Anolis sagrei: one gene and its partners. The protein of the gene in region 3 interacts with the protein of the main gene of each other region in a biochemical or structural test. Links are inferred from orthologs where the notes say so. Each region holds a gene or a part of one and is shown on either strand. Other genes may lie near its edges. The genes, in order: CITED2, KCTD15 and TFAP2A.

Evidence for each region.
Region 1: the proteins of TFAP2A (region 3) and CITED2 form a complex in vitro, tested with the Homo sapiens proteins (2 studies listed by BioGRID, with this or other methods). The link is inferred for Anolis sagrei from reciprocal best matches to the Homo sapiens genes TFAP2A and CITED2.
Region 2: the proteins of TFAP2A (region 3) and KCTD15 form a complex in vitro, tested with the Homo sapiens proteins (2 studies listed by BioGRID, with this or other methods). The link is inferred for Anolis sagrei from reciprocal best matches to the Homo sapiens genes TFAP2A and KCTD15.

What each region holds. Positions count from the first base shown.
Region 1 is NC_090021.1:78,465,286-78,475,760, reverse strand, and holds CITED2 (cbp/p300-interacting transactivator 2), read right to left. Parts: upstream 4,909-10,475; 5' UTR 4,614-4,908; intron 3,953-4,613; 5' UTR 3,946-3,952; coding exon 3,226-3,945; 3' UTR 1,870-3,225; downstream 1-1,869. UniProt on the Homo sapiens protein: Transcriptional coactivator of the p300/CBP-mediated transcription complex. Acts as a bridge, linking TFAP2 transcription factors and the p300/CBP transcriptional coactivator complex in order to stimulate TFAP2-mediated transcriptional activation.
Region 2 is NC_090028.1:2,917,736-2,928,960, reverse strand, and holds the start of KCTD15 (BTB/POZ domain-containing protein KCTD15), read left to right. Parts: upstream 1-6,773; 5' UTR 6,774-7,102; coding exon 7,103-7,177; intron 7,178-7,191; exon of another isoform or gene 7,192-7,283; coding exon of another isoform or gene 7,284-7,310; intron 7,311-10,947; coding exon 10,948-11,126; intron 11,127-11,225. UniProt on the Homo sapiens protein: During embryonic development, it is involved in neural crest formation. Inhibits AP2 transcriptional activity by interaction with its activation domain.
Region 3 is NC_090024.1:83,532,484-83,542,955, reverse strand, and holds the start of TFAP2A (transcription factor AP-2-alpha), read right to left. Parts: upstream 4,878-10,472; 5' UTR 3,467-4,877; coding exon 3,083-3,466; intron 2,058-3,082; coding exon 2,031-2,057; intron 54-2,030; coding exon 1-53.

The DNA of each region.
Region 1 (10,475 bases), on a different chromosome or scaffold from region 3:
AAAAAGTTGATTACATAGTAGAGGTTTCCCTTGACATTAAGTCTAATTGTGTCCAACTCTGAGGGGTGGTGCTCATCTCCATTTCTAAGCTGAAGAGCTGGCATTGTCTGTAGACACCTCCAAGGTCATGTGTCCAGCATGACTGCATGGAGCAGAAGCGGTACCTCTTGCTCTACTCACATTTACACATTTTCAAACTGCTAGATTGGCAGAAGCTGTGGCTAACAGCAGGAGCTCACCCCTCTCCCCAGATTTGAACTGCCAACCCTTCAGTCAGCAAGTTCAGCAGATCAGTGGTTTAACCCGCTGCACCAAATATCTAATAGTTATTTACAGAACTATAGTCTGTCAGCCATCTTTGGGCACACAGAGCTTCATAGGACAAACATTTCTAACTATCCTGGTCAAAACTTGACCTCTGACTAGCAAAGATGAACACTACTGAATCAGTCTTAAAATAAATGGGCCCAAGATTTTAACAAAGCCATACTTGTATTCCTGTGCATACTATATGATATTCTACAAGAATATTACATGGAAAGGTAAGTTAGGCTGTTAAAAGCATATGCAATTAGTGTGCAGAACTGAGCATGTACAGCTCAAATATTGATGATTGCTTATACCAATATCCATGCCCTTGCCAGCTCCACATTCCTTTTGCTTTGTGGATGTACACTTAGTAATTATTTGAACTACTTCTAATGTTATGCAGCCTGAAGATCTGAGTTTTCTTCTCCAAGGGAGATGTTTATTACTTCATCCACTCCTCCCTGTAGTAATTTATCCCAACGCTATGGCATCTCTGATTAGAATAAATGGTCCTAGATATCATAGATTAGCCCAACCACAACATGAAAATGGGAGAAATAGAAGCCAGGAGAGTAGAGCATTTTGAAGTTGCTACAGTATTGATTTGAGAAAGTTACTTTAAATGTCTCAATCAGCTCACCTTTTCCAATTTGATATAAACTGATTTGAGAAAGTTACTTTAAATGTCTCAACCAGCAAACCTTTTCCATTTTGATATAATCTCCCAATAAAACATGAACAAGTCTTGTATTTCTATTATGTTTTCCCAGGAGGAGGCGGTGTCAAAAAAAGGGCTACTTCTAATTATCTACCACAAAATTAAAGAGACACGAATATAGATGGGGAGAGAGATGTCATTTGATCAGATTCAGGTATCTGATCTTTACTCGTGTTAGTATTTGAGTAACACTACTTCACTCCAATGATAGCAAGATCAAATAAACCAAGCTCCTGCTATAATATAAATATTTTCCCACTTTCCCATGCCAAAAAGATGAATGTTATCCATTTTCAGAATCAGCACTCACATCCTAAACTATAAAACTGGTTCAACTTTGCCAAACAAAATGTTTTCCACCAACACCAGAGTTCAGCTTCCCAACTCTCTGCTCCCATCTGTCCTGTGGATTTCAATTCTGTACAATTCCCCATCTATATTTGTGTCTCTTCAATTGCTAAGCTCCTTTTTATGATGTATACAAGAAACAAACGGGGATACAAATTCTGCAGTGGGTTGTTGTAGGTTTTTTCGGGCTGTATGGCCATGGTCTAGAGGCATTCTTTCCTGACATTTCGCCTGCATCTATGGCAAGCATCCTCAGAGGTAGTGAGGTCTCACTACCTCTGAGGATGCTTGCCATAGATGCAGGCGAAACGTCAGGAGAGAATATCTCTAGACCATGACCATACAGCCCGTAAAAACCTACAACAACCCAGTGATTCTGGCCATGAAAGCCTTCAACAATAAATTCTGCAGTGTTTTTGTGTTTACACAACCCGTCTAACAAGAAATACATGTACAGAACGAACCAACTCTTCCATAGATAAGATAAATGAGAGTATTTATAAAATTAAAGTTTAATAGATAAATAGAATAAATACTTTATGCATCATAATTCTGGACAACTACATTTAAAAGCAAGTAAGTTGTTGGCAAATCACAAAGTCGTTGCCTCTTGGCATTTCTCCACTTTTTGATAAAATCACACAGGCATGTTACAATGTTACTTATGAGACTGGGTGTCATAATTAGGCTTAAATCCTTTTTTACCTTCTGCACTGATTGTGACATAGAGCAAACAATGGTGCCAAGTAGATTTTCCTTCAGAAAGTTTCACACAACCCAACAGTTCAACAAGTCAAATGGGTTATATGGATTTAAAGATGTGTGTGGAAGGTGGGACGAGTGGGTGGGTGGGTGGGTGGGGGGAGAGACCAGGAAAAAAATCCAGGTAGTTGAGATCTAGTGGGTGGGGAAATAAAGATTTCTTAACTTTGTATTGATCTTGACAAATAAAAATAAAAATAAATTAACAATTATCTCCTAAAAAAATTGTACAAAAATACTGTCAAATTTCTAAAAAGCTTTCAACACAGTAATTTCTCCCCCGAATGCTAAAAATGTATGTAAGCACAATACCAGAAGAAAAATAATGAGGAAGAAAGGACCAGAATCAAAAGAAAATAAGAACCAGTGAAGTATTTTCCCAACAATCAAGAGACCATTTGAATCACACTATATTGTCTGTACAGATGGGGTGGAGGGGGGGGGGGGATTTCCAAGAACAGCAGAGTTTAAGTAACTATTATTTTTCCTAATCAGGAAAGGGTTTGGCCCACATTTGTTAAGCTTTCAGGTTAGCAGACTCAAAAATAAATTAGCATCACGGCAATGCATAGTTCAAAACAAAGCAAGAGGGCAGTATTTGTGCAGGAATCTACCCTGAAGTTCATGCAACCAACTAATGAAGCATTTTTGTCCTTTTTTTAAAACTCGGAATTTGACTGTAGTTCTAATCCTCTGAAATGATAGCCTACAGAAAATCCACAAGATTTAAGCATGTTGCCAATATATTATCTAATAATTGAAACTGTTGGTAAGTTCCCAGTGATGAAGAAAACGGATCACAGAAAGGGGAAGGAGGAGAAAAAAAAAAGGAAATTCTAGAGGCTCAATCAGTTTAAAGTATTCCTAGGGAAGGGAAGGAAGACATGGGTGTCAAAGTTTAAAAAAAATGTGACAGCAAATTAAAAAAGGGGGGAAATTATACGTTTTGTCATTTACTCTGCTTCCCAGGTGGTCAAGCTCCTAACAGCCTTTGAAATACTGTGTTCGAGAGAGGGAATGTTTTCATTCATACAGATTAAAAAAGTCCTTCTTTGTGTGTTCGGTTCCGCTTCCTTTCGCGCGAGAAGTCAGCAGCTCACTCGGCTGGATTGCTGTTTGCAAACAAAGTCTGTCATGAAATCAAACTCATTCTGTCCCAACCAGAGCTCCGGCAGCTCCTTGATACGATCCAAGCCCATTTCCACCACTAAGGACATAAGGACTTCCTCGTCTATGAAGTCAGTGTCTATGACATTGGGCGGCAGCATTGCTGCAGGGACGTGGGCCACGGAGGAGGGCACAGCGCCGCTGCTGGTGCTGCCGCTGGTGTTGCTGTGCTTCGGGTTGCAGTCCCTAAAATGCTGGTTAGCTCCGTTGAGCTGATGGCTGGCAGGGTGCATGTCCGGCATGTAGTGGTTGTGAGGGTAGGGGTGGTGGCTGAAGTACTGATTATTCAGCTTTTGCAACTGCATACTGGCCGTCAAGGGCCCAGCTTGGGGAGCCACCGTCGGAGCCATGAACTGAGTATTGCTAAACCTCGCCGTGGGGGGCATGGTGCCCGGCGGGTGCCCACCATTGACATTCCCGGGCCCCATGGTGTGCTGCCGGATCCCAGTGTTTGCACTCATATTCCCGCCACCGTAGTGTATGTGGTCGCTCATCAAGGCACTGAAGGCATGCTGCTGCTGCTGCTGATGGTGGTGGGTCGGGAACTGGCCCATGCCCATTCGATGCGCCGGGTGGTGATGCATCCCATTGGTCCCGTCGGGGAAGCGCCCGTGATTCATGGCCATCATGTGGTCTGCCATTGCCAGCCTTTCAAAGTTAATGTTTACAGAGAGAGAGAGGAGAGAAAGAGATAAACAGTTTTGCCACCAGCGGCCAAAGAGCCCCAGAGTCTCCGAAGAAGGCGGTCTAAGGCAGCCCTGCAAGCACGCCACCCACATCCACCCACCCTTCCCCTCTGCGTGATGTTTTGGACATGGATAAAGCAGGCTGGAGCTTTCTTTCTTCAGGCTGTGCAAGGCAAAGGGGAAGGAAAGCGCCAGCACACACCCCTCGGAGCCCAAACCACCCTGCAACCCGGCCCACGTCCACCCTACACACCCCCTTTTCCTCCCAACCCTCCCCTTGGCGTTGGCGAGGCGGATCCATTCAAAAGACATTCTCTGAAGGATGTCATCACACAACCTTGCATAAGAAGTCCAGATGCCACCACCAGCCTGGCCGACCTTCTCGCTTTCCTTCCCCTTGTCAACAACTTTGGGAATTAGCAAGGATTGCTCGGGAGAGGAGCCTAAGTGGATTAGAAGGGGGTCTGGCTGCAAACCCTCCGCTGACCCCCAGCCCTTCTCCTTCCCCCTCGCCCGCCCTCCCTCCCTCCCTCCAAGGGGCCTCTCCGGCAACGCGGCCGGGAAAAGGGCACCTTTCCCTTCCTCTTCCCCTTCCTCCTCCCTCGCCAGGCAAACGCACTCACCTCGCGCCCTCTCTTTCTTCTTTTCCTCCGAACCGATCCCGCAGGGGAAGGGGAAAGGGAGGGAGAAAAAAGCCCACTCAGCAAAGCTCTCCCAGCATAGAGGAAACTCTTCCCCTTCGCCTCTTCTTTGCACAGGCTAGGACGGCGCAAAAAGAAAAAAAATCAGCAATAATACACAAGATTGCAATTCCAACTGCTGCTGCTGCTGCTGCTGCTCCCACCGCGCAGCCCGATGCTGCCAGCCGTAGCTTTCCACTCCTCGCCAACAATGCGCTGTGTTCCTTCCCCTGCTTTGGCCGAGGCTAATATAGGCTTTCCAAAGGGAGGAGCGAAAGCCCGAAGAGGCGAAGCAGAAGGAAAACCCGGAGCGAGCCGCGAGGACGAGCAGCCCCCGCGGAACGGGAAGGCCACCGAGCCAGAAAGCGGCGGGGAGAGGGCGCCGACGCCAGCGGGTTTGGGCACAGAGGGCAGCCAGGAAGTGGGTCTCCTTCCACCCAAGGTCCCAGCACCCACAGCCACCTTGACAACATGGGAGAGGAGGTCTAAGGGGGGGGGGGGGGGGAGGAGAAACCCCTGACCGGCTCGCCAAGCTTTGGAGGGAATTGGCCATCGAAATGGACACAATCTGGCTGCCAGTATTAAAGAACTCTAAAATCAGGACAGTCAATAAAGAGCAACACTAACCCCACCCCCCCAAACACAAGGGAATTCCAGACAGGAAACAGTCAGGGCCAGCTAACATCTCCCAACAAAGGATTCCTCCAGGGCGGCAGCAATCAGCTAAGCATTGAAGCTTCAAGGCTATTACATGCTAATCAAGGTGGCCAATTGCAACATTCACACTTGCCTCAAGCAGACAAGACTTCTCTCTCCCACCCTGGACATTATTCCACGGATATATAACCCTCACTTGCTTAGGTTGCTGTGAGTTTTCCGGGCTGTATGGCCATGTTCCAGAAGCATTCTCTCTTGACGTTTCGCCTGCATCTATATTAGGCACCCTCAGAGCTTGTGAGGACCTCACAACCTCTGAGGATGCCTGCCATAGATGCAGGCGAAACGACAGGAGAGAATGCTTCTGGAACATGGCCATACAGCCTGGAAAACTCACAGAACCCAGTGATTCCGGCCATGAAAGCCTTCGACAGTGTCCTCACAACCTCTGAGGATGCTTGCCATAGATGCAGGCGAAACGTTAGGAGAGAATGCTCCTGGAACATGGCCATACAGCCTGGAAAACTCACAGAACCCAGTGATTCCGGCTATGAAAGCCTTCGACAATACATCTCACTTGCTTAGTTCCCACAGACCTCACAACCTCTGGAGATGCCTGCCATAGATGAGGGAGAAACGTCAGGAGAGAGTGCTTCTGGAACATAGAAAACTCCAGCAACCCAGTAATTCACCAAGGTTTGGAAGAGTTTTGGGGGAGAAACGTCAGGAGAGAATGCTTCTGGAACATGGAAAACGCACAATAACCCTGCGATTGCGACCATGGAAGCCTTCGACAATACATCTCACTTGCTAAGTTCCCACAGACCTCATAAATTCTAGGGATGCCTGCCATAGATGTGGGCGGAACGTCAGGAAAGAATGCTTCTGGAACATGGAAAACTCACAGCAACCCAGTAATTCACCAAAGTTTGGAAGAGTTTTGGGGTACGCTTTCTAGCCCCTCCGCCCCTCCTTATGTAGGGATTGCCACCATTTCTCTTTGGGTATGAAAGACACACAAGCTAACACACCAGATGGTCGCCCAGTTCTTCCCCCTCGGAGGAAAGAGCGAGAGAGGCTTGCTGTAAAGCAGCCTGAGAGCATGATGCTGGGGTGTGTTTTGCTGCCCCCCCCTCCTCCTCCTCCTCCTGCACAATGGCAATGGGGACCCTTGGAGGGAGAGCGCCAAGGCGCACCAAGCAAGCACCCATGTTTTCCAATCCCCGGAGGTGTTTGTACACACACAAGAGAGCCTTAACCTATGCCATTTGGACCTGCATGATATACAGGCAGCGTAATGCCGATGCCACAGCATTCTAGGGCAGAGTAGATCCAGTCCTTGTTGCGCGCCGCTCAGAGATCCAAGCCACGCTTTCCGGGTGGCGTGGAGAGTTTGCGCTCACCTCTCCGGGTAAGCTTTGGCACTCGAAAAGAGGCGTCTCTTTGCTAGGCAAACAAACTCCGCCAGCCTCGCTCCAAAGATCCTCGCTCTCCCTTCCCCCCCGTTTAATAAACAGCCCCCCTCCCCTCCCCTCCCAGTGCGTGCGTGTGCGTGCCGTGTGGACATTTGCCCTTGCTGGGCCTGGGGAGGGCAAAGGCAAAGGCAAAGGCAGCCCTGGCAGCAGCAGAGCAGCCCGCCTTTCCCTTTCCGCAGCGAGGGGGAGGCCAGGGCCTTCTGCAAGCCCACGGTCCGACCCCGAGGCTTGCCAAGAGAGGGCGAGGAAAGGCAGGGCGGCAATGGCTGGCTCAGCAAAGCGCCTCCAGGCCCCGCTTGGGTTTGGCCCCGGCGATGAAAGGGTCAATGCAACTGATAATGCAACAAGGAAGCCGGAAAGGCGCCTCCCTGGGAGCTGCCAGGCGCGCCCATCCCCTCCTCTCGCGCCAAGAGGACACCCAGGGCATCTGCACTCTGGAATTGAGGCAGTCTGGCACGACTTTTTAAAACTCCCATGGCTGTGGAATCCTGGGAGGTGTAGTTTGGTGAGGAGCTTACACTCAGGCAGAGAAGGCGAAAGACCTTGTAGAACTATAACCTCAAGAGTTCCATGGCATTGAGCCATAGCATTGGGTCACACTACATTTATTCTAGGGTAGATCAGGCATGGGCCAACTTGGGCCCTCCAGATATTTTGGACTTCAACTCCTACCATTTCTAACAGCCTCAGTCCCTTTTCTTTCTCTTTCCTGCTTAAGCGACTGAGGGGGAAAAGGAAGGGGCCTGAGGCTCTTAGGAATGGTGGGAGTTGAAGTCCAAAACTCCTGGAGGGCCCAAGTTGACCCATGCCTGATGTAGATGCACTCACAGTGGCAGGAAAGCTGAATCCTAACACGCTGAACCCTACACATGACAAAAAAAAAAAAAAAAAAAAAGAAAAGGCCAGGGCCCACTTTACCAAGGCCCACTTTGACCAGGGCCCACTTGACCAAGGCCCAATTTGACCAGGGCCCACTTGACCAAGACCCACTTTGACCAAGACCCACCTTGACCAGGGCCCACTTGATCAAGGCCCACTTTGACCAGGGCCCACTTGACCAAGACCCACTTTGACCAAGACCCACTTTGACCAGGGCCCACTTGATCAAGGCCTACTTTGACCAGGGCCCACTTGACCAAGACCCACTTTGATCAGGGCCCCTTTGATCAGGGTCCACTTGATCAATGCCCACTTTGACCAGGGCCCACTTGACCAAGACCCACATTGACCAAGACCCACTTTGACCAGGGCCCATTTTGACCTGGGCCCACATGACCAGGGCCCACTATGACCAGGGCCCACTTTGACCAAGACCCACTTTGACCAGGGTCCACTTGACCAGGGTCCACTTTGACCAGAGCCCACTTTGACCAGAGCCAACTTTACCAGGGCCCACTTTGACCAGGGCCCACTTTGATCAGGGCCCACTATGATCAGGCCCACTTGACCATGGCCTACTTTGACCAGGGCCTGTTTTGACCTGGGCCCACATGTTCCGGGCCCACTTGACCAAGACCCACTATGACCAAGGCCCACTATGACCTGGGCCCATTTTGACCAAGGCCCACTATGACCTGGGCCCACTTTGACCAAGGCCCACTTTGACCAAGACCCACTTTGACCAGGGCCCACTTGACCAGGGTCCACTTTGACCAGAGCCTACTTTGACCAGGGCCCATTTTGACCAGGGCTCACATGGCCAGGGCCTATTTGATCAAGGCCCACTTTGACCAGTGCCCACTTGACTAGGGCCCATTTGAACAGGGACCACTTGGCCAGGGACCACTTTGACCAGGGACCATTCTCTAACATTAGTACCAATAAAAGAGGAAGGAGGTTTGTGGTCCAGAGTTTTGTTCTTGCAGTCCATTGCTGGGCCGCAGCCCACATGTTGAGAACCACTGCCTTTGACAGTGAAGTAAAATCTTTTAAATCACTCCCAGCTCCCTTTTCCTTCTTGTTCTCCATCTATATGCCAGTTTTGTTTAGCATCATTGGCATTGGGGGAATGGTGGGGAGTTGGAGAAACACAGTGGTTTCGTGTCAGGTTTAAGCAACAAGTCTGTAGTGAACAGCACAATAAACCAAGGGAAGGAATGGGGTTTTATTTTCATTGATATTATTGTGTGCCTGACTACAACAGGTTAAACAGCAGCTGCCCCTAAAATCCCTTACTGAACCTGTAAAGAAAGAGAGTAAGGAAAAACAGATAAGCCTGCCTCAACAGTTTTTCCAAGCATATTAAATAAACATCCATAAATTTGACCTCGAAAAAGGAAATCATAAGAAAAGTGGAAAAAGAAAAAGCCATCCCTGGGTGCCTTTTAAAATAAGCCTTCAAGTGAATCTCTGAAGGTTAAAATGTTTTTGTTTACTTACACAAATCTTTCTTGACTTGATTGTTTCATTTCACAAGTACATGCTGTTAGGATAAAAAGTTTGCCTAAATCTGTTGGATTGATCTTCCATTTTGTGGTATAAAAACCTAGCCCTGTTCTTTCCATGTTGATTCTGGTACCACATTTTCTGCTAAAGAAGGAATGTCAAGGAACATTTTAAAATTTATAAACTGGGAGTGGCAACTCAAAACTTTTCACTAACCTTCTTTAAAAAGTTAACTAGGTAAAGATAAAGGTTTCCCCCTTACATTAAGTCCAGTCGTGTCCAACTCTGGAGGTTGGTGCTCATCTCCATTTCTAAGCCGAAGTGCCGGCATTGTCCATAGACACCTCCAAGGCCATGTGGCCGGCATAACTGCATGGAGCACAGTTACCTTCCCGCCAGAGTGGTACCTATTGATCTCACATTTGTATGTTTTTGAACTGCTAAGTTGGCAGAAGCTGAGGCTAACAGTGGGAGCTCACACCACTCCCTGGATTCAACCTGCAATCTTTCAGTCAACAAGTTCAGAAGCTCAGCAGTTTAACACACTGCACCACCAGGGGCTCCAAAAAGCTAACTATTACACATCTATTTGTCTTTTTCACACCTTTTATTTCCTTCTGCTTGTACTGATAACAGCAAAAGATGTGGTTGTTCATTCTTAGTGTCCTGTCCATCATACGTCGTTGGTTGTAAGCCACCTTGTGTCCTGTGTGGGGAGAAAGATGAGAATGTTAAAGAAATCCAGCTGGCCTTCTTCGTTTGTGAGTTTAACTTTTGTGGATTTGATTATTCATGGATATGATTAATATGTTCTGTTTTGGAATCTCTTAAGTCCTCCAGCTGAACGTTATGGTCAACTTTAGGTGGAAATAGACCATAAAGTTGGACTATGTGAAAGTTAGTGGGTTTTTAATTTGCAGCTTTCCCACTTTTAGGGGTCCTGTGCCCCTAAACCCAGCGAATGCAGAGGGCCATTTGTAAACAATTCATTGGTAGGTCAAACTTCCCAGATAGATACCCTGCTGGTTCCTCCTAGGTCAGTAGCATGTGAATCTGCTTAGAGTTTCAGCCAGAACTCTGAAGGAGTTATCCAAGGTGCTGACTCTATTTTGATTATACGTTCAGCACTTTAAGCAATTCTAAGTAAACACTAGAATTCCAAACATGGGGAATTCACCAGTCACTGATAAGGAGCCTCCAGTGGTGCAAAGGGTTAAACTCTTGTGCTGGCAGGACTGCTGACTGAAAGGTTGGCTATTCGAATTAGGGGAGTGGCATGAGCTCTCGT
Region 2 (11,225 bases), on a different chromosome or scaffold from region 3:
ACTTCCTTCCTTCCTTTGCGTATTTCCATCCTGTATGAAACTCATATGCTTTGGTTCTGTTGAACATAGCAAGGTTGACTTTGGGAGCTTCTTCCAACCACGTGTATTCCCCTCCTTTCTCTGTTTTTCTCACTCTGTTCTTTCTTGGAGGACGACTGGTGGATTATGGGATTCTTTGCACTTTCTATACACGTCTATTAGTGGGTTTTGCAAAGGCCCAACATTGTTTTGGTTTTGAAAGCCAAACATTGTCAACGCCAGTGACATTCAGTTTTTCTCCAGGGCTTGAACTGAGTTATATGGTCAGTGTAGACTCATATTGTGCAAACTGAACTGCATTATATGCCCAGTGTAGATCCACATCATGCAGTTCAAACTGCATTATATAGTCAGTGTGGAAACATATCCTGCAACTTGAACTGCATTATATGCCCAATGTAGATCCATATTGCGCAGCTTGAACTGAGTCAGTTTAGATCCGTGATGCGCAGCTTGAATTATATTGAACTGCATTATATAGTCAGAGTTGATCCATATCATGCAGCTTGAAATGTGTTGAACTGCATTATATGCCCAATGTAGATCCATATTGCGCAGCTTGAACTGAGTCAGTTTAGATCCGTGATGCGCAGCTTGAATTATATTGAACTGCATTATATAGTCAGAGTTGATCCATATCATGCAGCTTCAAATGTGTTGAACTGCATTGTATGCCCAGTGTAGATCCACACTGCGCAGCTTGAACTGCATTATATAGTCAATGTTGATCCATATTATGCAGCTTGACTTGTATTGAATTGCATTATATGGTCAGTGTAGACCCATGTCATGCAGTCTGAACTACATTATATGCCCAATGTAGATCCATATTGCGCAGTTTGAACTGCATTATATCGTCAATGCTGATCCATATCATGCAGCTTGACTTGTATTGAACTGCATTATATGGTCAGTGTAGACCAATATCATGCAGTCTGAACTACATTATATGCCCAATGTAGATCCATATTGCTCACTTTGAACTGCACTCAACTCCATTATATGGTTATTGTGGATCCATATCATGCAGCTTGAATTGCACTATATATATGCAAATGCAAATAGTCAGCGTAGACCCATGCCATGCAGCTTGAACTGCATTATATAGTCAATGTAGCCCCTTAATGTGCACCTTAAACTGCATTATATGGTCAGTATAGACCCATATCATGCGGTTTGAACTACATTGAACTGTATTATATGCCCAATGTACATCCATATTGCACAGCTTGAACTGCACTGAACATTATATGGTCATTGTAGATCCATATCATGCAGCTTGAATTGCATTATATATATGGTCAGTTTAGACCCATACCATGCAGCGTGAACTGCATTGAACTGCATTATATAGTCAGTGTAGACTCATATCATGCAGTTTGGACTCCATTACATATGCCCAGTGTAGATCCATACTGCGCAGCTTGAACTGCACTGAACTTCATTATATACCCATTGTGAATCCACATGATGCAGTTTGAATTGCAATGTAGGCCCCTTCAATGTAGCCTGAACTTCATTGAACTGCATTATATAGTTTGCGAAGACCCGTATTGTGCATCCTAAACTACATTATATGGACAATGTAGATCCATATTGCGCAGCTTGAACTGTGCGATATGCCCATTGTCGATCCATATCATGCAGCTTGAATTGCATTGAACTACATATATATAGTCAGTGTAGACCCATATTATGCATCTTAAACTGAATTATATGTCCATTGTAGATCCATATTGCGCAGCTTGTAATGCAATAAATTGCACTGTTGTAGATCCATATCATGCAGCTTGAATGGCATGCCGGGCAGCTTGAACGACATTGAACTGCATTATACAGTCAGTGTAGACCCATATTGTGTATCTTAAACTGCATTATATGTCCAGTGTCCAGTGTAGATCCATATTGCGCAGCTTGAACTGCAGTATACTGCTCTGTTGTAGATCCATATCATGCAGCTTGAATAGCATGCCATGCAGCTTCAACAACATTGAACTGCATTATATAGTCAGTGTAGATCCATATTGCACAGCTTGAATGGCATTGAACTGTATTATATAGTCAGTGTAGTTCCATTTTGCGCAGCTTGAATGGCATTGAACTGCATTATATAGTCAGTGTAGACCCATATTGCGCAGGTTGAATGGCATTGAACTGTATAATATAGTCAGTGTAGACCCATATTGCGCATCTTGAATGGCATTGAACTGCATTATGTAGTCAGTGTAGACCCATATTGTGCATCTTAAACTTCAATATATATCCCGTGTAGACCCATAATGCGCAGCTTGAACTGCACTATACTGCACTATTGTAGGTCCATGTCATGCAGCTTGAACAATATTGAACTGTATAATATAGTCAGTGTAGACCCATATTGCGCAGCTTGAATGGCATTGAACTGCATTATATATTCAGTGTAGACCCATATTGCGCAGCTTGAAAGGCACTGAACTGTGTTATATAGTCAGTGTAGACCCATATTGCGCAGCTTGAATGGCATTGAACTGTATTATGTAGTCAGTGTAGACCCATATTGCGCAGCTTGAATTGCATTGAACTGCATTATGTAGTCAGTGTAGATTCATATTGTGCAGCTTGAATGGCATTGAACTGTGTTATATAGTCAGTGTAGACCCATATTGCGCAGCTTGAATAGCATTGAACTGCATTATATGCCCATTGTAGTTCCATATCATACAGTTTGAACTGCATGACCTGGGTCTACACCGACCTTATAAATGCAGCTCAGTCTGCACTCTTTGGCAGCGTAGACCCAGCCGTAGCCACAGGGAAACAGAACGCATGTGCAGGAATAGATTTGCACCAACATTTTCCCTTTGGAACAAAAAAAAAAACAACAACACCCTGCCGTTTCCATTTCTCGTCTTAAATGGGCATGAAGGAATTAAACTGTGCCAGTGAATAACAGCATTAGTTTCAATTATTTCCCCTCCCCAAATCCTGGCAACCATAAAAGTTTGGGTTTTTACATCCTTAATTAGCCTGCTTTCCCATCTGTATTTCTGTTTTAAGTGCCGGAGTGCTTTGATTTAAACTTGGCCTCCCCTTCATCCCTCCCTCCCACTTCCTTCTTCGTTCCCTCCTTCTTTCTATCTATCTTTTGTCTTCCCTTCTCTTGCTTTTCTCCCACCTTTGGCCTCCTATTCTCCTCCCTTACCTGATTGCAGAGGCAGTTTGGTGCAGTATAGTACAGTTCAAGCTGCGCAATATGGATCTACTCTGTCCATATAACTTTTTCTCTATACACACAAACATGTGTGTACAGCAACATGGCTTCCTATGGCCCTGAGCTATGTGCAAATGTGGGGAGCGCCTCCATCCAGCCCCAGTGTAGTCAGTGTAGACCCATATTGCGCAGCTTGAATGGCATTGAACTGCATTATGTAGTCAGTGTAGACCCATATTGCGCAGCTTGAATGGTATTGAACTGCATTATGTAGTCAGTGTAGACCCATATTGCGCAGCTTGAATGGCATTGAACTGCATTATGTAGTCAGTGTAGACCCATATTGCGCTGCTTGAACGGCAAAACAAACTTTTGAAGCCCGATTTCAATGTCTCGCATCCCTGAGTGTGTATGAATAGGAAGATATCCTTTCAGAGAGAGAAAGAAAGGGAGGAAAAGGAGAGGCAACACCCTGGAAATGTCTGCCGCCGTCTTTCAGCGTTCCCTGCCTCGAGGCATGCATGCGCCCGAGGGCCTTGGAGTTGAATGGCGCGCTCACAACCGCCTTCTGTTTACCTTTTATGGTTAAAATAACAGCTTTTTTTGCAAAGGAGCAACTTTGCAAAAGGGAACAAACGGCTCAGATTGGGTGAAACTCATCTCAGGCAGAAGCGGAGCTGGTTTAATCACCCCTAGAGAGCTGAACAACTGCGAGCTCAATGGGACACAAAACCATTTTGTGTGTAAATGAGCATGGGATGGCGGTGATATTCGCTTTCCATGGGCAAATAGTTTTTACAAGCAGCCGTTTGAGGCAGGGAGCGAGCGGAGGAAGGCAGCAAGGATGGTGCGAAGGCACCTGGTGGGAAGAGGCATGCGCGCGCATGAGAGGCGGCAGCGTCTATGCACACACATGCAAAGGCAATGGGCATGGCGGACCTATGGCACCGTCCATCCGCAGGAAGGTCCCTTCCCACATTCATTCATTCATTCATTCATTCCAAGGGAGACAGGCAAGGGAAGGCCCCAAAGCATTGCATTTATAGTGCATAATACTCTTAGGTAGGCAGACTGCACATAGGGTCAGTGCGCTTCCATGATGCACCTTCTCCCTTTTGCTGAGAAAGGCCTCAAAATACTGAAAAGGAGTCTCATTTGGGAAGCTTTAGGTCAAAACAAGAGATTTAAATGTGTTGTTTCGGAGCATTCCTTATGGAAGCTTAAAGTATCATCTCTCTATTACTAAGTCAAAACAGAGTTTATAATGTTTTGTTTTAGTGCCTTCATTAGAGAAGCTTAAAGTATAACTTGGATGTCTATCTGTCTCTCCCTCCCTCTCTCTTTATCCATCTTTCTATCGATCTCTCTATTTATCTCTCTGTCTCTCTATCTTTCTATCTCTCTATCTGCCTCTCTGTCTATCTCTGTCTCTCTGTATCTCCATCCATCTCTCCATCCATTTCTCCATCCATCTCTCTTACTCTCTATCCATCTCTCCATCCATCTCTCCATCTCTCTGTATCTCTATCCATCTCTCTTATCTCTATCCATCTCTCTATCTCTCTGTATCTCTATCCATCTCTCTATCCATCTCTCTATCTCTCTATTTCTCTATCCATCTCTCTATCTCTATCCATCTCTCAGTATCTCTATCCATCTCTCCATCCATCTCTATCCATCCCTCTATCTCTCCATCCATCTCTCTATCTCTCTGTACCTCTATCTATCTCTCTATCCATCTCTCTATCCATCTCTCTCTCTGTATCTCTCTATCCACTCTCTATCTAGCTCTCATATCTCTGTATTTGTTTCTCTATCTAGCTCTCTGTTTTTCTATCTATCCATCTCTCTACCTCTCTCTATCTCTCTATCCATCTGTCTATCTCTATCTCTATCTGTCTCTCTATTGAACTCTCATATCTCTGTCTCTACCTCTCTCTCCATCTCTCTCTCCCTCTTTCTATTCATCCCCCCTCTCTCTATCCATCTCTCTATCTGTCTCTATCTCTATCCATCTCTCTATCCATCTCTCTCTCTGTATCTCTCTATCCACTCTCTATCTAGCTCTCATATCTCTGTATTTGTTTCTCTATCTAGCTCTCTGTTTTTCTATCTATCCATCTCTCTACCTCTCTCTATCTCTCTATCCATCTGTCTATCTCTATCTCTATCTGTCTCTCTATTGAACTCTCATATCTCTGTCTCTATCTCTCTATCCATCTCTCTCTCTCTCTTTCTATTCATCCCCCCTCTCTCTATCCATCTCTCTATCTGTCTCTATCTCTATCCATCTCTCCATCTCTCTCTAGCTATCTAGCTATCGCTCTATCAATCTCTCTTGTCTATCTATCTATCTATCTATCTATCTATCTATCTATCTATCTATCTCTTTCTCTATCTCTCTATCCATCTCTCTATCTCTATCTGTCTCTTCGTCTCTCTATCTCTGTTTCTCTATCCATCTCTCTATCTCTCTCTGTATCTCTTTATCCATGTCTATCTATCTCTCTATCCATCTCTCTATCTCTCTCTGTATCTCTCTATCCACATGCCCCCCCCCCCCCTCTCATCTCTCTGATATACATTTTGCTCTAACTCAAAACAAGACTTGAAAAAATGTTAGTTTGGGGCATTCCTTAAAGAAGCTTCAAGTATAACCTATCTATTATCTATCTATCACTAAGTCTAAAGAGAGTTTTAACGTTTCGCCTGCACGTTTCGCCTGCATAGATGCAGGCGAAACGTCAGGAGAAAATGCTTCTGGCACATGGCCATACAGCCAGGAAAACTCACAGCAACCTGCCATAGATGCAGGCGAAACGTCAGGAGAAAATGCTTCTGGCACATAGCCATACAGCCAGGAAAACTCACAACAACCTGCCATAGATGCAGGCGAAACGTCAGGAGAAAATGCTTCTGGCACATGGCCATACAGCCAGGAAAACTCACAACAACCTGCCATAGATGCAGGCGAAACGTCAGGAGAAAATGCTTCTGGCACATGGCCATACAGCCAGGGAAACTCACAACAACCTGCCATAGATGCAGGCGAAACGTCAGGAGAAAATGCTTCTGGCACATGGCCATACAGCCAGGAAAACTCACAACAACCTGCCATAGATGCAGGCGAAACGTCAGGAGAAAATGCTTCTGGCACATGGCCATACAGCCAGGAAAACTCACAACAACCCAGTGATTCCAGCCATGAAAGCCTTCGACAATACAAAGTATATATCTGTTTCTATCATTTATCTTTCTAACATCTATATATCTATCTATTGATGAGTCTATCTCTAAGTCAAGACAGAATTTAATACATTTGTTTTAGTGCTTTCCTTAAAGAAGCTTTGAGTATCACCAATGTATCCTCTGTTTATCTATCATCAACCCAATCAACCATCTATCTATCGCATCTAGCTTTGAGTATCACCAATGTATCCTCTGTTTATCTATCGTCAGTCCAATCAACCATCTATCTATCTGTCTAGGGATTGATCCCAGTGTTGTGTTATGGTCTTTGTAGTCCCGGAGGGGAAAGGAAAGTCATTCCAAGTGTCTTGACAGTAAAAAGGCTGTTGACAGTTCGGCGTGCCGTCTCCGTCTCCGGCGACATAACAATAAACCCCGGGAACGGTGCCGTTTTGCTTGGCTTTGTTCATGTGCCATCTGCACCCATCATTCCAGGCTCCCATTGGATTGCGACCCACATCTGCCCCGTTTGGGTGGGCCGTGGCTTCTTCCCCATTGTTCTCTGCCTCTGAGAAGTGAGTGGGAGGCGAGGGACGGTCCTGCCCAAGGAAAGGTATAATAGGAGGGCTCTAATAGAGAGAGAGAGAGAGAAGAGAGAGAGAGGCACATGATCCGGAGTGAGGCATGAAGCCTTGCCGCCCGGTGCCGAACAACGCCTTGGAAGCCAGCCCCATTGGGCGCCAATGGACTTTCTTTCAAGTAAGCGTGCTTATGATTGGGCATCGCCTCCCTCGCGCCTGGCAGGAGACCCAAACCCAACACAGAGCGGCTCCTGCCTCACTCAAACCGATTCGGGAAAGGGAAGATGATCTGCAGGAGAAGCATTTGGATGGTAGATACAACTTTGCATGGATTGCGACGATCGTTGCCAGGCTCCTTCGCGTGCCTTCGCTCTTTAGTGTGCTTTCCCTCCCATTTGGGAATGTGTCTGTTGTGCCGGATACATACAGTGGCTAGTTTTCTCTGTTTCGGGTCTCATTCGTTGTAACAGACTCTCTTTTGTTGCAGAAATAGCTCTTTTCTCTGGTTTTTGGGGGACGATGGGTTAAACTGGATCAGAACCAAGGCAGGCAGAGGCAGTGTTTACCTTTTGGAGTTTGAATAAGAGTGCGCATTTGGTGCCAAATAAGAGAGATGGAGAGAGAGATAGGGAGATAGAGAGACATATAGATAGGGAGAGAGAGATGGATAGAGAAATAGAGAGATGGATAGGGAGAGAGCGAGTTTGATAGAGAGATAGAGAGATGGATAGAGAGAGGTGGGTAGAGAAATAGAGAGATGGATACAGCGATAGAGATATAGATAGAGAGACAGACAGATAGAGATATGGATAGACAGACAGGTAGAGAGATAGAGAGATGGATAGAGAGACAGATAGATAGATAGATAGATAGATAGATAGATAGATAGATAGATAGATAGATAGATAGAGAGATAGATAGAGAGATAGATAGAGAGATGGATAGAGAGATGGATAGAGAGATGGATAGAGAGATGGATAGAGAGAGAGACGGATAGAGAAATAAAGAGATTGATAGAGAGATAGAGATGTGGATAGAGAGACAGATAGATAGATGGATGGATGGATAGATAGAGATGTGGATAGAGAGACAGACAGACAGATAGATGGATAGAGAGATGGATAGAGAGATGGATAGAGAGATGGATAGAGAGAAAGAGATACAGATATGGATAGAGAAATGAGATTATCCATGGCTAGAGATAGATAGAGAGATGGATAGAGAGAGAGAGACGGATAGAGAAATAAAGAGATTGATAGAGAGATAGAGATGTGGATAGAGAGACAGACGGAGAGATGGATAGAGAGAAAGATGCCGATATGGATGGAGAGAGAGATGGATAGAGAAATAGAGAGATAGATAGTGAGACAGAGAGAGATACAGATATGGATAGAGAGAGAGAGAGAGAGAGAGAGAGAGATGGATAGGGAGAGAAAGAGATTGATAGAGAGATAGATAGAGATGTGGATAGAGAGGGGTGGATAGATAAATAGAGAGATGGATAGAGAGATAGATAGATAGATAGATAGATAGATAGATAGATAGATAGATGAATAGAGAGAGAGATACAGATATGGATAGAGAGATGAGATGGATAGAGAAATAGATGGATAGAGAGAGAGATGGACAGAGAAATAAAGAGATTGATAGAGGGATAGATAGAGATATGGATAGAGAGACAGAGAGGGAGATGGATAGAGAGAGATACAGATATGGAGAGAGAGAGATGGATGGATACAGAGATGGATAGAGAGAGAGATACGGATATGGATAGAGAAATAGAGAGAGAGATACAGATATTGATAGAGAAATGAAATGGATAGAGAGAAAGATACAGATATGGATAGAGAGAGAGATACATATATGGATAGAGAGAGAGATGGATAGAGAAATAGAGAGATGGCTAGAGAGATAGATGGAGAGAGAGATACAGATATGGATAGAGATATGAGATGGATAGAGAGAGAGATAGAAAGATGGATAAAGAGATGGATAGAAAGAGAGGCAGATAAAGAGATTCGAATAAGAGCGCATCTTTTGTGCCCAATAAGTGAGATAGAGAGAGAAATAGAGAGATAGAAATATGGATAGGGAAATAAAGAGAGAGAGAGAGAGAGAGAGAGGGATAGAGAGAGAAATGGATAGAGAAATAGAGAGATAGAGGTATCGATAGAGAAACAGATAGAGAGATGGATAGCGAGAGTTACAGATATGGATAGAGAGATGAGATGGATAGAGAGATTGAGAAAGAGATGGATAGATAGAGAGATGGAGAAAGAGATTCGAATAAGAGCACATCTTTGGTGCCGGTGGGGACGTTGGTTGTGTGTCTGCCTATCTGTAGCTGTAGTATTTGATGCACCCGCAAAACTATCATCTGTCATTGATTTTGTCAAAAAGCAAGTTCTTTGGCTTTTGTGGGGAGACGTGACGTCTTTGCCGAAGATGACTCACCGTATCCGGGAGAAAATCTCTCGCTACTCCTTTTCAGGAATCCAATCTTTCTTCTCCTTCATGTCCAAACGTGGATGATGATCTCCTCTCCGCTTGGACTGATGTTTTGCATCAGCGTCGCTCTCCGGTGGTTGATTTCCGAGTCCATTTCGGGCACCAAGAAGAGAGAGAAGAAAGATATATTTGGGGGGCGATACATCTTTGAAGACCACGGCAACCAAATAGTCAATCAGGCAAATAGTTAATAGTCTTGGTTTTGGTGCCACAGTTGCGACAAAGTCTTCAGATTGCTGATCTCTTCCGCCCGTTTCCATGTATTTTAGGATTTCTCAGGTGATTTCTAATGGGAGTCGGTTGTGTTTTGGTCAGGTGTTTTCCAAGTTATGTTTCAATCAATGGCAAAAGGTGGGAAAAGGTTAGCAGAATATTGTAAATACAACCCAAGAAAACGAAACGAGGCTTAAGAACATTTCCTAGCTGTGCTGTTTACCATGTATTGTTTATACTCCGAAATAAGTAAATGCAATGAGTGTTTTGTGTCGCTTGTATGGCTTTGTCACAGATCCAATTAGTCACCTGTGTCTCATTCTGATGTTGTCTTGTGCCGAGCGAAGCGACATTCATATTCATCAGAAGGCAACGCTTGATCTTTCTCGTTCCTTTGCAGCTTAAGGTGTGTTGTCTTTGCGCTGATCCGAAACGTTATACGTTTCAGTCGAAATCAGTATTGGATATGTTTGCTGTCAATGTCGTTAAAATGCAAGGAAAGTATTTGCTATCATGAGGTTATGTGTGCGTTTGTGTGACTTGAAACGAGGTTACAGAACTCTTGGAAACGGTGCGCTAAGGATCAAAAATAGTCGTATTTTTTTTTGTCCGAAGCTTGCTTTCGATCGGAAAGTTGGGAATTTGATAACGTAATCGGTATCCCTTTATTATCCTTCAAAAGCAACCCAAATAGTTCCGAGTTTGAACGTGATTCGAGCCTCAACGATGCGCCCGGGGAGCTGAGGAAGTCACTAATTTAGAGGTGTCTCGTTACGGAGACAAACTTGCAAAAATAACCCCCCGAACCCTAATTCGCAAATTGGCTCTCCGTTTGTCGGGGGGATATTTCACATCTCGCGCAGGAGCCGGCGACCTTTAATTAGAATTTTGCAGTTTGTTTTCAGCCCCTGGAGGCTGACACCTTGGAAAAGATTCCTTTTTCTTCTCGATGTCTTGGTGCTAATAAGCATCTTTTTTTCCCCCCTTCTTCGCCCGCCGGTCCTTTGAAGAGGGCGATGCAAACACACTTAATTACGGAGGTGGCGGCAATTTGTAAGCGGAATATGCGATCAGGCAGAGGCACAAGCGATCTGATGAGATGCTGTGATCGCGCCCCGGAATGAAGGCGGGCGGCTACGCGGAGATAGATAGATAGAGAGAGAGAGAGATGGATAGGTCGCGGGAATAATCACCCTTCCCTTTTGTTCTCTCTTCCCGGGGCTTTAGGAGGAAGGAAGAGCAATGTCCCGGCTGTCCTTAACGCGCTCCCCGGTTTCGCCCCTGGCCGCTCAAGGGATCCCTCTGCCAGCGCAGCTCACCAAGTCCAATGCACCCGTCCACATCGACGTAGGAGGACACATGTACACCAGCAGCCTGGCCACCCTCACCAAGTACCCCGACTCCAGGTAAGCCAGCCCTACTCAGAACTTCCGCCTCACCTGGTGCCCACCTGAAGCACCTGTTGTGATCATGATGCTTTGTCCAGAGTACCTGTTGCAATCATG
Region 3 (10,472 bases):
GAGCCCAGCTGCGGCAAGCGGCCCGTCCCGTTGCTGGCCCCGTCGTGGCGGTCCTGGGCAAGGAGACAGGCAATGGGGAGAGGAGAGAAGGGGAGACAGAGACGGAGGTCACAATCAGGCGGGCAGGCTTGCAGATCCCCAACAAAACCACCCTCCAAACACTCCCTCATATAACCCAGACTCCTCACAACAAACCCAGCCCAGATCACTGCCAAACAAAACAAATATCCAAACAAAAAGCAGTTCTGGAGCTTTCAGAGCTCCTGAATGCCATCTGCATCTTTCCAGTGCATCTGTATTAATTATAAGAACAGTGAATCTGTATCAATAACAATGAATGGCAGTCGAGGGGACAAGAAGGTCCATCCACTGGGATTAGAATAGAGGGTGATTCCTTCCTTCCTTCCTTCCTTCCTTCCTTCCTTCCTTCCTTCCTTCCTTCCTTCCTTCCTTCCTTCCTTCCTTCCTTCCTTCCTGGGGAAGGTCACTGATTGTTTTCGTTTGATGAGAAAATGGAAAAAAAATAAAATCACACCTCTCTCTCTCCTGTGTGTGTCTTGAAACGTTGTGGCATCTTTTGCACCCCAAAAACGAAGCGAAAGAGACCAAGCTTTGTAATTGTTCGTTTTTTCCTAAGCCAAAAATTCATATGAATGTGTGTGTATACGCACGCACATACATACACAAAACCACATTTCAGTAGTCTCTTTTTGAGAAAATTGCATATATGTGTGTGAGTGAATTTTATATATGTGTGTGTATGTGAGTTATATATTTTTATGTGTGTGTGTATATGTGTGTGTGTTATACACACACAGAGAGAGAGACACGAATGCCAATTTCTCAAAAATAGACGATTGAAATGCGAGCCAAATCCGGTTTTGTATTTGCAAGAGGAGGAAGAGAGTTGTGAGAAGGACAAGCCGTCAACATGCGTTGTTGGTTGCAACTGTATTCTAATAATATTATTCTAATAATAATAATACACAGCCTGTGCTGATAGATTAGTACAGAACTCTCTAAACAAAGATGACATAGATATATTTCTGAACACACAAAATGATTAAATATTTTTTGGGGGAAAGCAATGACAAAAAGATAAAACAGAAACAGAGGAAAAGCGGGCCGGGAAAAGAAGAGGGAAGCAAATGTAAATGACTTTTGCAATGGGTGCAATTGGGACTTCGGTGGTTATGAGATTATAGCCCACAGGTATGTCTAAAGCCAATTAACAGCCATACAAATGCAAGGTGGGGGATGGGGCCGAGTTGGGTTGGGGAGAATATATATGTGTGTGTCCCCAACCTAACTTCCCTCCTATGGAAGTTGAAGACCTTTCACTCTGTGTGTGTGTATATATATATATATATATATATTCTCCCCAACCCAACTTCCATCTTCCATCTGTATATATATATATAGATGGAAGATGGAAGTTGAAGTGGAAGTGGAAGTTGAAGACCTTTCACTATATATATATGTGTGTGTATATGTGTGTGTATGGAAGATGGAAGTTGAAGACCTTTCTATATATGTGTGTGTATATATATATATATTCTCCCCAACCCAATTTCCATCTTCCATATATATATACATATGGAAGATGGAAGTTGAACACCTTTCATTATATATATATATATATATATATATATATATATATATATATATATATATATATATATATAGTGTGTGTATGCTAAAAGGTCTTCAGCTTCCATCTCCCAAGAAGCAGAAAAGAACTGTAGAGGGAGAGCGGGGACGATAACAACGAAAGCAAAAAAAAAAAAAAAGGGGGGGGGGAGGAAAAACAATGGAAGGGAGTGGAAGCCCTTTGTGGCGACCTGGGCGCAGCCGCAGGGCTCCTCAAAGAAGTGGGGTGTTGCTTTGAAAGCGAAAGGCTAGGAAGCCAGGTCTGGGTGGGATGCGGGAGAGGAAGGAAGCCAGGCAGGGTCGGGGGTCTCAGCGCGGTTTCGCCCTCCTCCTCCTCCTCCAGCCCCAGCCCCGAAGAAGAGAAATCTGGATCCACTCACCATCGCCGAGAAACTGTGAACTAACATCTGCGAGGTTTGCGGGGCGACGGAGTCAAGGCAGGAGGAGAAAAAAAGGCAGAGAAAAAAAGTATGGCTCTTTGCTCTGGAGCGCGCTCTCTCGCTTCCTCGTCTCCCCTTCCTTCCTTCCTTCCTTGCTCTTCCTGTCCTAAGCTGCCGCTTTCCCAGCTTCTTTCTCTCTCTCTCTCTTTCCTTCTCTTTCCCTCTTTCGCATCCACACTCACACAATGGGAAGAGAAGCCTAGACTGCCCCCAACCCCAGTCCCCAGCGCCCAAGCTGCCGCTCCGCCCGAGCCGGGAACCGCAGGCGAAGAGAAGCCATCCGAACTGGACCCCAAACGCAGCAGCTCGAGGCGAGAGGAAGCAAAGTTGAGCGTGTGAAAGAGAGAGAGGAGAGAGAGGAGAGAGAGAGAGGGTGCGTGTGGGCGAGAGCGCATGTGTGTGCGCCCCCTCCCTCTTCCCTCTGCCCTCCCCTCCTTTGACTTCACGTGAGAGAGAGAGAAAGAGGCAGAGAGAGAGAGAGAGAGAGAGAGAGAGAGAGGAGAAAAATCCGCCGCTTGCTTTTCTCCCTAATAGCGAGAGTCCCTAATAGCAGATATTCATGACTATTAATATTACACGAAGACTTAATAAGGGAAGAATAGCTGGAAATCGAGCGTGAAGCGAGGCGGCGACTCAAGGCAGAGTCTGTTCTAAATGACGTCCATTGAAGGGAAGGATCAGGGGATCTAATCAGGGAGGGAGGGAGGGAGGGGGAAAGGAGGGAGGGAGGGAGACACAAAAAGGAGGAGGGGGAGAGAGAGAGGGAGAAAGAGAGAGAGGCGTCTGACGAATCACAGGGAAGGGGCCACATTTTAAAAGGTTCCAAAGCCTGGGAAGAGAAAGAGAAAGGAGCCAGGGAGGCAGAGAGTGGAGAAGGCCGGAGAGGGAGAGAAAAAGAAGGGAAGGAGGAGGAAGAAAAGGGGGGAAAGAGTGGATAGAAGGGGGAAAGGAGAGCCCAGAGCCGAGGGAAGGGGTTTGAGCCCAGGGCACACCTGGGGCGGCGGGGCGAAGGCGGAGAAGCTGCCCTCCGGGGCCTCCTCCTCCTCCCCCACCTCCTCCTCCTCCTCTTCGTCGTGGCCCACGCTCCTCCCCGGCTCTTTCTCGGGGCCCGTCTGCTCCGTGGCGGGGGCCTCCGTGGCGGCCTCCATGGCGCAAGGGCCCCCTCTCTCTCCCGGCTGGATCCCCGTCGCGGCCCCGCCGAGCTGCCTCTCCCCGGTTTCGGGTTCGGGGGGAGAGAGGTAGGAAGGGAAAGGAAGGCAGGAAGGAAGGAAGGGAAAGGAAGGGGTGGCGACTGCTGCTCTGCCGGCCCGGACAAGCTCAAGCTCCCAGCTCCTCAACCCGTCCGACTGGCTCGGCAACTCCTCTGCCGCCGCCATAGGCGCCCTGCTCCCCTTTTCCTCCCTACCGCCTCTGCAGAGCTCGCAAGCACAACCTCTCCCCCACCCGCCCCATCCACATTGCCCGTTTAACGCAGTTTCGACGCCGAACTCCCACCAAAGGCGCAAAAAAGAAGAAAAAGCGCCCTTCACGCGCGTGCACCAGCTCTCTGCGGTTGTGGCCTCACCAGCCAAGCCTCTAAGGCCCCGTCCACACAGCCCTATATCCCAGAATATCAAGGCAGAAAACCCCCACAATATCTGCTTTGAACAGGGTTATTTGTGAACCCTTCCACACAGACCTATATCCCAGAACATCAAGGCAGGAAACCCCACAATATCTGCTTGGAACTGGGTTATCTGTGGGCCCTTCCACACAGCCCTATATCCCAGAATATCAAGGCAGAAAACCCCCACAATATCTGCTTTGAACAGGGTTATTTGTGAACCCTTCCACACAGACCTATATCCCAGAACATCAAGGCAGGAAACCCCACAATATCTGCTTGGAACTGGGTTATCTGTGGGCCCTTCCACACAGCCCTATATCTCAGAATATCAAGGCAGAAAATCCCACATTATCTGAATTTGGACTCAGATAACCCAGTTCAAAGCAAATATTGTGGGATTTTCCTGCCTTGATATTCTGGGAAATAGGGCTGTGTGGAAGGGGCCCCAGCCTCTCCCCCACCGATCCCATCTACATTAGCCATTTAACGCAGTTCCGAAGTCGAACTCTCACCAAAGGCACACACAAAAAAAAAAAAAAAAACACACGTTCACGCACGTGCACCAACCCTCTGCGGTTTTGGCCTCACCATCCAGGCCTCTAAGGACCCTTCCGCACACCCATATAACCCGGAATATCAAGGCAGAAAGCCCCTACTTTGAATTGGGTTATCTGAGTCCATACTGCCGGTTCAAAGCAGATAATGTGGGATTTTATTCAGCTGTGTGGAAAGGGCCTGAGTACATAACCATCTGTCCAACTAAAGTCCTTTCTCCAGTCAAGGTCTGAAACGGTTTTCCATGGTTGGTGTAGATGTGCTCCCCCAAGAGCGCCACCTCGTCAGCCTGAGGCTTTCCCTGCCCTCCCTTTCCTTCTGGTTGAACCTGCATTGCCCTACATCCCAGTATCTGGTCCCAGATTTCTCTGATTTGAACTGGATTATAGAGTCTACAGACCCCCCCCCCCGCACAGTGGGTTAAAGCTGCTGAACTTGCTGACCGAAAGGTCGGAGGTTCCAATCGGGGAGTGGGTGAGCTCCTACTGTTAGCCCCAGCTTCTGCCAACCTAGCAATTCGAAAACATGCAGTCATGACTTTGGAGGTGTCTCTAAACCCTTCGGCTTAGAAATGGAGTTGAGTACCAACTCAAAGAGTCCAACAAGACTAGACTTGTGCGGCAGGACTGCTGAGGACAGGTCAGCAGTTCGAATCCGGGGGAGAGCGGGTTAAGCTCCAGCTCCCCATGCGGGGACATGAGAGAAGCCTCCCACGAGGATGGTAACCTAGACGGCCAATTCTCTCACCCCAGAAGCCACTTGCAGTTTCTCAAGTCACGCCTGACGTGAAAAACATTTATATGAATCTACACTGCCAGATAATCTGGGATAAGCAGATAATCTGGGATCAAATCCTGGGATATAGGGCAGTGGACCTTTCCCCGTGGACCTCTCTGAGATAAGCGTCCACGCCTGAGTATATTTCCTTCACCTGACAGAAATGGGGTTGGACTGGATGGCTTTTGGAAGTCTCTTCTCACTCTAACCGGTGTCAGTTTCCCAAGATTAAGTTCCTAGCACCGCGACCGAGCTGTAGCTGTTTGTTTACCGTCAAAAGGCGAAGCAAAACAAGCAACGAAGACGGAGACACAGCCAAAGCGATGGGCAAGACAAGTTTCAAAGAATGGCTCTGCCACCTGCCACCCCCCACCCCCCAAAAAAAGATTGTAGGAAGGGGAAGAGTAGAGGAGGAGAGCGCAGGAGGACCCCACTTTCCCGTTTCTTGCCATTAAGGGGTACTTTCCACCTGCAAGCTCCCAAATTTCCCCGCTTCTGACAGTCTCGCCCTTCCGAAAGAGTTGTAAATCTCAATGCTAGCCCATGCTGGGCTTTTTAAATCCTCTACTGGGGTTGCAAACAAAGGACCACAACACCAGAATGTGAAGGAGACAGAAAAACCGGTTTAAAATGGTCCTGACTGCAATCTACTTAGGAGGAGGAGGGTTGCAAAGCGCGCAATGGGGTCGCCAACACTTGTGAGTTTGGCTTCTTTCCAGAGCAGCCTTCATTTCCCGTTGGGGATCCATGGCATCCTTCTGTTCATACTCAACGCCTCTGCCCGCCTACACGAGTCATCCAGTATCTTAGGTGAGCCCCCAGTGGCGCAGTGGGTTAAACCCCCGTGCTGGCAGGACTGAAGACCGACAAGTCGCAGGTTGGAATCCGGGGGAGAGCGCGGATGAGCTCCCTCTGTCAGCTCCAGCTTCTCACCCGAGGACATGAGAGAAGCCTTCCACAAGGATGATAAAACATCAAAACATCCGGGCGTCCCCTGGGCAACGTCCTTGCAGACGGCCAATTCTCTCATTCCAGAAGTGACTTGCAGTTTCTCAAGTCGCTCCTGACACCACCCAAAAAAAGGTGAGTCCTCTACTATTAGGGCATCCTGGATAGAAAATAGTCAGGGAGGGGACCCGAAAGAGCGAAAGAGCATCTGCAGCGCTGTGCGGCAAAGGTACCCATTACCCCCATGGTGCAGTGGGTTAAAGACCGACAGGTCAGGTCGTAGGTTGGAATCAGGGGAGAGCGCGGATGAGCTCCCTCTGTCAGCTCCAGCTTCCCATGCTCGGACATGAGAGAAGCCTCCCACAAGGATGATAAAACATCAAAAACATTCCCTGGGCAACGTCCCTGCGGACGGCCAATTCTCTCACTCCAGAAGCGACTTGCAGTTTCTCAAGTCGCTCCTGACACACACAAAAAACCAGTTTCTGTGCCAAATCGGAGTTTCCTGCCATCGAGGAACCGCTTTCCTCCAAACCCCGAGTAAAGCAGGGCGCAAAACAGACTCGGAGTTGGCAAACTACTCCGGAAGCCACTCCTTGAACCTTTTCTTTATCTTTTTGGTGCCCTGCTGCTGCTGCCACCGTCGGGGCGAGGGAAGACTCGTCTCGAGGTCTTGGGGATCCCTCTACCGGCGCCAGGCTGCTTCGTTTCCTTTCCTCCTTCCTTCCCTCCCTCCCCGATACCATCCGTCCATCCATCCATCATTCAGCCCATCTTCTTCCATGTCCTTCTCCGCCCCTCTCGCCTCCTCAGCCCCCCAACTGTGGACCTTCCCTCCCTTTGAAGAGCCCCCTCGCCTTGCAGCGTCCAGACCCAAAAAAGAGGGGAGAAGTCAAGTCACCTCGCTCCAAACTTGCCCTGAGCTCCTTCCTTCCTTCCTTGTTGTTGTTGTTGGGGAGAGGGGGAAAGGGATCAGGAAGCAGGGACTCGGGGATCCCCTGATGTGAGGGGAAAGCGCTTACCTCGCATTCCTCATACTTGATATTATCCGTCAGTTTCCAAAGCATTTTCATGGATTGGCGAGGCGAGAGACAAGCGAGAGAGAGAGGGGGGAGAAAGGAAGAGAGAGAGAGAAAGAAAAAAAAGAGAGAGAGGGGAGGCTGTGATGCCCTGCCTGCCTGCCTTGGCGCTCTCCTCTGGCATGCAGAGCGCGCCCGCTGCTGGGCTTGAGAAGAGGAGGAGGAGGGGAGGAGGAAGAAGAAGAGGAAGAGGAGGAGGAGGCGATCCGCTGTGCCCGCTCGCAGATCTCCCTCTAATGGTCGAAACTTTCCCCCCTCTCCCTTTCCCTGAGCCAGTCTTCTCCCAACGCAGCCGCCTCGCCTCATTAGCATAGCAGGCGCAGCCCAGTTGCGCCGCGCGCGCCAAGACCGGGCGCGCGCGCGGCCAGGAGCTCCCCAGGAGCCCCCCCCGATTGGATTCGCTTGGCCCCCTCCTTTGCAAAAGCAACAGAAAGGTGCCCCCCCCCTCTCCTCCAGAATGAAAGAGGGAGGCTTAGGGGAGGAGGCCCAAATGGTTTCCTTTTTAAAGGATCCTCTCCATTCTTCTCTCTCTCACTCCTTTTCCCTCTTGTACCTGTGATCCCCAGTTGTCTCCTTCTGCAAACACACCGAAATCAAAGCCAGGCCCAGCAGGGGCAATGGTTGCTCCTATTAGGAAAATGCCCATCCATTGCAGAACTGGGTTGTTGTGAGTTTTCCGGGCTGTATGGCTATGTGCCAGAAGCATTCTGCCCTGACGTTTCGCCCACATCTATAGCAAGCATCCTCAGAGGTTGTGAGGTATATATTCTCAAAGACTTTCATGGCCAGAAACACAAGGTTATTGTGAGTTTCCCGGGCTGTATGGCTATACTCCAGAAGCATTCTCTCCTAATGTTTTGCTTGCATCTATGGCAGGCATCCTCAGAGGTTGTGAGGTCTGTTAGAAACTAGGAAAATGGGGTTTATGTATCTCTGGAATGTCCAGGGTGGGAGAAAGAACTCTTGTCTGTTCGAGGTAGGTGTGAATGTTTCAATTGGGCACGTTGATTAGCATTTAATGGCCTAGCAGTTTCAAGGTCTGGCTTCTTACTGCCGGGGGAATCCTATGTTGGGAGGTGTAAACAATCAGGGCCTGCTAATCGGTTTTCCGGGCGGTATGGCCGTGTTCAGAAGCATTCTCCTCTGACGTTTCGCCCACATCTATAGCAAGCATCCTCAAAGGCTGTGAGGTACTGTATATATTCTCAAAGGCTTTCATGGCCAGAAACACAGGGTTGTTGTGAGTTTTCCGGGCTGTGTGACCATGTGCCAGAAGCATTCTCCCCTGACGTTTCGCCCACATCTATGGCAAGCATCCTCAGAGGTTGTGAAGTACTGTATATATTCTCAAAGATTTTCATGGCCAGAAACACAGGGTTGTTGTGAGTTTTCCGGGCTGTATGGCCATGTGCTAGAAGCATTCTCTCCTGACCTTTTGCCCACACCTATGGCAGGCATCCTCAGAGGTTGTGAGGTTTGTATTGTGGAAGGCTTTCACGGCCAGAATCACTGGGTTGCTGTGAGTTTTCTTGGCTGTTCCAGAAGCACTAGGAAACCAGTGTTTGAACCCCCTGCTCAGTCTTGGGAACCAACTCTCTCAGCCTCAGCCCCACACCCTTAGTCTATTGTCCTTTTTGAACAAAAGGTAATAGCTTGGCCATGTTCCAGAAGCATTCTCTCCTGATGTTTCGCAAGCATCCTCAGAGGTTGTGAGGTATGTATTCTCAAAGGCTTTCATGGCTGGCAATACAGGGTTGTTGTGAGTTTTTCTGGGCTGTATGGCCTTGTGCCAGAAGCATTCTCTCCTGATCTTTTGCCTCCATCTATGGCAAGCATCCTCAGAGGTTTTGAGGTATATATTGTGGAAGGCTTTCACGGCAAGAATTACTGGGTTGTTGTGAGTTTTCCGAGCCATGTGCCAGAAGCATTTTCTCCTGACCTTTCACCTGCATTTATGGCAGGCATCTTCGGTATATTATTTGATAACACAGAAATGCTGGACCACTCTGGCAACCACCATGTCAGACTCCACAGAGAAGCCGTTGAAATCCACACGCACATGAACAACTTCAACAGAAAGGAGACCATGAAAATGAAAAAAAATATTTTTGTCTCTTTGTAGCAATTCTAAAAACTCTAAAATCAGGACAGTAAATAAAGGACAGCACTCTGAAAACAGGGGGAAACAGTCAATCTGCATTCTGAAGCTGCATTATAATGCATCGTAGATCCAGCCTGAGTTCCATGCGTGGAAAGTCTGGCACCTAAATCAGCCTGTAGAGGACTTGAAAGGCTGGCTCTCCTCTGATTTAAGAACCCTGCCTCGCTGATCAATGTCTAGACAAGAGATTTTTCTCTTTTCTTGATTTCCCATTTTTTCTGGTACTTTGCAACAACCAGCCCCCCACAATGGCGAACTTTTAAAGTCAGGACGCCACAAAACCCGTGGTGTTCGGAAAGGAAGCGACCCTGGCGACAATAAAGTGTTGAATGGATTGTCGAAGGCTTTCATGGCCGGCCTCACAACCTCTGAAGATGCCTGCCATAGATGCAGGCGAAACGTCAGGAGAGAATGCTTCTGGAACATGGCCATACAGCCCGGAAAGCTTACAACAACCCAATGAAGTGTTGATTTGTCGCTTGTTTGCTTGTGTTGGGTTTCATCCCTGGACTGCACAAGTCTCTTGTGTCATCAAGCTTCCAGACCTCAACGAGGAGCTAGACTAGAGATTGAGGTGTTGTTCTGAGAATGCACCCCAAGAATGCACCCCAAGAATCCCCCAAGTTATGGGATGGTAGCCGGGAGAAATGGGCTGCCATCCGAGTAAATGGCATCTGAAATGAATTCTACTCCACTTATGGCATTTAAATATCAGAGGGCTTAGCATTAATGCCGATAGGGATTGAATGACAGAAATCTGTGAAATCCAGGTTTAAACCATAGGCTCAGAAGCCATTATCCCATACCGACTTTTTTCAGAGACCTCGACTATAGTGCTCACTGAGCATAGGCAGAGTCGTTTTCCATCTAGGTATCACAGAATCATAAGAGTTAGAAGAGATGGCAAGCACCCTCCAGTCCAGCCTCATTCTCCCAGGCAGGAAGATATCATCAAAGCCCTCCCGACAGATGGCCATCCAGCCTCTGCCTCAAAACCTGCAGAGAAGGAGACTGGAAGTAGTGAATTCCACTGTTGCACAGCTCTAACCCTCAGGCAGTTTGTTCTAATATTTAAGTGGCAAATCCTTTCCTGTCCTGTGAATCCATTGTTTGACTCCTTCAAAGTGAAGAGAGAGGGGGCCAAAAGATAGTTCCATCTTATCTCCTGCATATGTCATCAGTTGGGGACCCCTCTCCCTAGCACCAACTGCTGGTCTGGGCCAGAGTGAAGAGAGAGGAGGCCAGAGGACAGTTCC